2 linked regions of the Bombyx mori genome follow. The protein of the gene in region 1 purifies or fractionates together with the protein of each later gene. This does not show direct contact. Links are inferred from orthologs where the notes say so. Each region holds a gene or a part of one and is shown on either strand. Other genes may lie near its edges.

Region 1 (2,790 bases):
ATAAAATTGACATTTAGTGTCTTTATTAATTAAGCGAATTTCCAAATGATTATAATCTGTCACTAATCTGTATCTTGTTTCACAAAACTTGTCAATCCTCCCAACAAATCATTAATTTTCATTTGATTTTTAGGATATTGATTTTTCTAATAAGATTTTAAAAGCAATCTTATCGACGCTTGAAAGGCAAACGTGACTAAGCAACAATGCGTGAACTTTACAGTAGACTAATATAAAGTTGAACCTGAAAAAAAAATTATTTTAACGAATCTAGCTAGTAGCTGTAGGATTGAAATGATTTTAATAGACCTAGAAATATATTTTTTTGCACATTAAATATGGTTATTGCCTATCATTTATGTACAAAGCAGTTATTGTCGCTTAGTCACTTTTGCCTTTCAAGCGTCGATATGTTCTAAGGCAATTGGTGGCTCAATGTTATTGTATAGGGGCAGTAAACTCATATTCCATTTACTATGCTAGGAACAGAAAAGGCAATATTATGTAATGTTTTTATTATATACTAAACTGTATTTGTTACCATTTCCAATGTCCTTTTTACCTAACTTTATAAAAAATGAATTATTATTTTCTCTTTTCTTGAATTATGCACATCTGTTTTTTATATTTAAAGTTATTTGTATTTTATGAGGTATTCTCACTAACTGAAATCAGATTGGTTGAATTATAATGTTCACCTAAGCTATACATGTGCCTGTGATATGTGATTATCAATGGTGGGCCTTCAAATTCTGTGCCTTGCTCTATACAATCAGGTCCGACAGCTTGTATCACATTTATCGGACACTTTAAAATATTTGACAAGGCTCTAAGTTCTAATTGACCACCCCAATCTTTGGTATTCATTATTTTATGACAATAATCTTCAAATTCCTCATCTGTTAATGTTTCTAGTGTTTCTGGGTTACACATGAAAGGTTTGAAATCATCTTTGTTATCCCTTATGTAATTTGAAACTTTTTCTCTCAATTCATCCACGCTTACAGTCTCTTGTTTCACAAGTTGCAACTGATGACTTACAGCTTTGTATAAACAATCTCCATCTGATGGAACAGTAAAAATTTTCAAATTTTTTTCTTCAAGCCTTTTGGTAATAGTTTGTATTTCAATGTTCCTAGCTCCATGAACATTTTCCTTGTCTTGAAGTTTTATTTCTTCTTCGCGGATTTTCTCTTGTTCTGATTTTTTATCTCGGCGCCGTTGCGCTTTAGATACTTTTGTTTTGATAACTCTTGTTTCATCTACCATTGGTTCTAAGTTGTGTTCAGAAGAAAGTTTTGCTTCCATAATCTCCTTATTGTGTCTAATTTCTAATTCACTTTCAAGCCTTGATATTTCAGCAGCAAGATCTTTCTTTTTTGTTTTGTCATTTTTAGCTACTTTTTTCAATGCTTGAATTTGGGCTTGCAACTCTTTTTTCTCCTTACGTTGTCTAATTTCCATACTATTTACATCTTCTGCTTCTTTCTCCGTTTCCATTTTATTGTTTTCTACTTGACGTGAATATTAATTTTATTTTGTATTGAAACGTTATGGGTATTGGCTATAATTTAATTTATTTCATACACACATGTCCGTAGAAACTACCTACTCAGTCAATAATAAAAAAGAATACATAAACACCGTGCTAATTGTTCATTTTAATATTACTACAATATTAAGTATATTATTTATAATAAATTATTTTATTATTACTACAATATTAAGTATATTATTTATAATAAATTTTAATAGAAACAAGTGTTTAAATTCTCGAAGAACTGAAATGACTGAAATACATGCTGACTTTGCTGACAAGTGACAATAAATATCAGAATTCTTTTTTTTAAAGGGATTTTACGACCTGGTAACTACGACCTTTAAGTCATGTCTTATTTTAATTTATATTCTTATTTTTATGGAAAATGATAATATGGAGTGAAATGAAATGAAGATGATTATTTGAGCCATTAACAAGGAGGGTATCTCTACCCTCCATAGCCATTAATCAACTGGAATGAAATGAAATGAAATAATAAGAGATGATATGGGATGAAATATAATCTCAGTAAAATGGTGGTCATTTACTGAATTTTTTTCAGTGGGCTTTTCGGATGATCCCGAGAAGTTACGTCCAGTGACTTTGTTTCATTTTCCTACATTTGTGCACTTTCACAGATATGAAATAGTTAATAAACCACCGTTATTACACATTTAAACCTAAAGAAACACTAAACAGGCAAAATAAAACAAATCACACAACTGCACTTCTCACGTTTCCGCTAAAAGTAAATCAGAATTATCAGATAAGTTCACAGTGTTAGAGACGGGGTAACTTTTTTTTTTTTTTTTTTTTTCGGCTAGAGGGCCGAACCTCCTACGAGGTCCCCGCGCAAAAGGGGCGCGCGGGGTATGTGAGACTCAACGATCTGCATGGTGTTGTGAGCAGACCGCGGGTCCAAGGATTTTAGGACCCACCCACTAAACGACTCCCCTGCACTCTTACACCCGACGTCCGATCCCCTCCGAGGTGCGGAGAATTAGAGACGGGGTACTTAACCAACGTTGCATAAATCACAGCAAATTCGTAGGCATGATGATCCACTTTTATTGGGATAGTATGGCCTGGAAACGAGATATTTAAGGGCACTGAATACATTTTTTATTTAAAAAGTACGCAACTACGCATAGCTGTATACCTGTGTGATGCATAGATGTACATTGTAGAGTTGGTTATAATCGTAAATTATTATAAAAATACAAATCTGCAAATACACATCTGAAGAATGG
Region 2 (3,935 bases), on another chromosome or scaffold:
TACCTGTATTAGCATTATGCCGCATAATGCGCTCTTGTGCTGCAATTGGAAAACTACCGAGGTAACCCACCAGTTTGATTAATGCAATTGGACAGCTTGTTTTTATAAATTGTTGCTCAAACGTAAAAAAAAACGTCCTATATTTACCTTCATTTGGGTTGAAATGTAGGACAGATAATCACCGATAAAAACAAATAGGCCTTTGTTGGATGCTTGGGTTTCTCAATAAAACTTCCACAATCGATTTTGTGCTTGTATTTCCTTTATACAGGTTTTTGTTAATTTAATACGTTGCGAATGAGTTAGCTTGGCACGGCCATTAATTGAAGTGTTTAAAAATTGTGTCGGTGAACATAAATAAAATTTTGTTCATTGCTCCTTAGAAATTCGTAGGCGTTAACAGCTTTATATAACAACGTCAAACATTTTCTTACTTTAGCTCGACTTTTTTGATTAATTTTTAGATGATTAGTCATTTAATTTAATCTATCAATAAAAAATTGTGATTACATGATCGTTTTCATTTAATATAAAAATTAATTAACTATTTCTAGATTGTATTGGTGTAACATTGCAACATCATTACAGCAGCAATTTTTTTGTAGGTACAACAAGTGGAGCCGCCCTTATGGCTTTTATGTTGCAAGAATCAACTGTTACATGAATCGCAAGTAAATCGTTTTGGTATGGGAATATACAAAATCGATAGCATAACACATCTAATATAAAATATTGTGAAAAAAACTGGTTACATTATGGCATTATTTCTTAATGGTAAATAAATTTTAAATATAAACTTATGTTATGTTTTTATTTTCAATTCCTTCATTTTATATTTAATATATTTTATTTATACTTCATTTTATATATTTATTAGACTTCGTTTTAATTTAGTAACATTTTTTTGGAAAGATAGTTGTCCTTCTAGTTTCACGAAAACGAATCGGTGAGCACGGACGCAATGTAGTAGGTAGGTATTTAAACCCAAATGGTTCAATATTCCTAGGTTTCTACAACTGTATTTGTATCAGTGCATGGGTTTGATTAGCACGGCTACGATTTCATTTACGTAGATTATTAATTTCAAGGAATTTAACAGTAGATACTTTTTGTATTAATTTGCCGACGACATTGTCAATCAACTTTTCTGAACGGTAAACGAATGTCATTTTAGTCATTTGTTTTGTTGCAATTTTCTGTCAAAACATATGTCAGTTGTTATTTGAAAATGGCGGATGATGCATCAAGCAGTAGCGGTATTACCGGTAATACGGTTGAAAATTCAATTAATCAAGATGAATTGATAATGAAACAGCAACGTGAAATAGAAAAAGAGGTAATATATATAATATATAACCAGAAAACTACCTAAAACCATACTTCACACTGAAAACATACTTTGAAATTTGACGTTACTGTTTGTTTGTTTTTAGATATCGGAAACAATACCGTTGGTTGGTGAAATTGAAGAATTGCAGACTTTAGAGAAAGAATATAACGAGGATCCGATTTATTTGCTCAAAGTGAAAGATTTGTCTTCGAAATACAAAAGCATTAGACGAACGCGTCCCGATGGCAATTGTTTCTTTCGCGCGTTCTCATACGCATATTTGGAACGCTTACTGACTGATAAGCAGGAATATGATAAGTTTTACGAAATAGCAAAAAATTCTAAAGATATTCTCGTCGCCTTAGGGTTTTCGCAGTTCACCGTTGAAGATTTTTACGAAACTGTAAGTTGCAACATTCTTTTTGTTTTGTTGACAAGGACGTTTCAAGTTTACGGGTTGCGCGCGAGGCCTTGACCGGAGATTATGGTTTTTTCTCAGAAAATAAAAATTTCGCTGTTAATCATCATAAAACTCACCAGAGTATTGATTTGAATAGTCAGATCATCGAAGATAAGTCAGACATGAATATTATAACATTTAATAGAAAGGGAGGTTAGCATAATTATTTGATTGAAAATTATTGGGGGCAATAAAGCGTGGCTGGTTTAAGCAGTTTTAAAAAACCACAAATGTTTATAAAGCCTGGGTGACTGCCTTAAACTGGAATAGGCAAGATCTTAATGGCTTGTGTAGACAATGCATAATATAACAAAGCTTATTATCTAAACACCAGGAAAGCCCAAAAATATTTCCGAATATAAAAGCTATTAGGATAAATCAATTTTAAGTGTTTGATGAAGACAGTGTTTCTAAGTAATACTTGGACCATATAATTAGATACCTTGATACTATAGAGTTGAGACTTGATCTACACGCTTGAAGTCTTCACACTGTCTTCATGTCATCTGGACTTTTTCCTAATATCAAGTAGCTAATAGTTTGCAGACTTCTTTAGACTAATTTGCAGACTTCTTTATTTAAAATATAATTTAAAAAAAGACATTCAACTTTGTCAATGTAAACTAAAACAACAAATCTAATTAAAATTATAATTTGCAGTTTATGGAAGTAATCCAAAGAGTAGGGGAACATGCTGGTTCTACTCCGGATTTGATAGAAACAGTTCGTATGGAGCTTCATGATAAGTTCAACAAGCAGGGATATTCTGATTACATAGTGGTGTACCTTCGTCTTATTACATCTGGCCAGCTGCAGACAGACCAAGAATTTTATCAGAATTTTATTGAAGGACCACGCACTGTTACTGAGTTTTGTAGACAGGTAACAATGACATAAATGTTTTACAATTTATTTATTTACAATAAAAGGATTGTGCTGCAGCATTTAGGTTGTTTTCAGTAACCACTTAACTTTTTGTACCATGTGGTATTTTGATATTATTTGTATTTCTAACATATGTGCAAGTTAACTCCTCAAAAAGGAACATAATTTAAAATAAAGTTTCTGACTTACTGTTGTGATTCTGCTACATAGTAGTCAGGCTTAGTGTTTGAGGGTAGAATAATAATAAAATGTAATAAACACGATTGTGGATATTTGTTTTGTGAGAGACAACAAGGTTATTGTATTTTTTCCCAAAATATTTTTATATCAATAGTATAGTGCACTAGACTTGAAATTGTTGTTATTGCTCATGGTCACTGACATAGTTCGTCTTGAAATTGGTCCCATGCGTATAAACAACAGATTCTACTTAAATTATGGTTCAAACCACATGTTGTGAATTTGTTTATGTAAAAAAAGGTGACCGTATGTTCCCATAGGGAGCGCTCTATACCATTCGGCTTTGGATTGAGCTCTCCTCCACAATGTTTCCCGAGCACTATGACATTTCCCTCTTCAAATGAGAATTGTGGAGAGTGCTTAACGGTAGGCAGCAGCTTGACTCTGCCCCCGGCATTGCTGAAGTCTATGGGCGACGGTAACCACTCACCATCAGGTGGGCCGTATGCTCGTCTTCCTAAAAGGGCAACTAAAAAAATTATTTTTGTAGTATCGTATACATTTACCATGCAGGTGCCTAGGTTCATTCAGTTGGAAAGAGAACCGTGATTCAAAAATATTTTTGTTAGATCTTTTAATTTGTTATTGCAGGAAGTGGAACCGATGTACAAAGAGTCTGACCATATCCATATCATAGCATTGAGTAATGCACTCAAGGTGTGCGTCCGAGTGAAGTACATGGATCGGGGTGAAGGTAGCCAGGTGAGCAATAAAACTTAGATGCTAGTTACCAAAAAAATTTAATTGTTTAATTACAAATTGTAATGTCATTTTAAATTGAAAGCAAAAATATTTAAATCTGTAAAGCAGTAGTAAAGTACCTACTTCAAAATTGTTCATTCATTTCATTTCAATTCTGGTTCAACCAAAAGAATAACCAGTTTCACAGAAAACTAAAAATATCCTAATCTCTATTATGTTTTGTAAATAGAACCGTGTTAAAAAAAGTAATTGAAGAGCATATTTTTTCTACTTGCTAATGTGGTAATTAGTAAATGTCAAAATTTTTTATTGCAGGTG

What was found. The genes of interacting proteins can lie anywhere in the genome.
Region 2: the proteins of deubiquitinase OTUD6B (region 1) and ubiquitin thioesterase otubain-like fractionate together in Homo sapiens (co-fractionation; 4 studies listed by BioGRID and IntAct, with this or other methods). This does not show direct contact. The link is inferred for Bombyx mori from reciprocal best matches to the Homo sapiens genes OTUD6B and OTUB1.

Annotation. Positions count from the first base shown.
Region 1 is NC_085110.1:12,094,071-12,096,860, forward strand, and holds deubiquitinase OTUD6B, read right to left. Parts: upstream 1,501-2,790; coding exon 646-1,500; 3' UTR 501-645; downstream 1-500.
Region 2 is NC_085118.1:933,389-937,323, reverse strand, and holds the start of ubiquitin thioesterase otubain-like, read left to right. Parts: upstream 1-1,135; 5' UTR 1,136-1,228; coding exon 1,229-1,336; intron 1,337-1,433; coding exon 1,434-1,733; intron 1,734-2,450; coding exon 2,451-2,672; intron 2,673-3,506; coding exon 3,507-3,617; intron 3,618-3,932; coding exon 3,933-3,935. UniProt on the Homo sapiens protein: Hydrolase that can specifically remove 'Lys-48'-linked conjugated ubiquitin from proteins and plays an important regulatory role at the level of protein turnover by preventing degradation.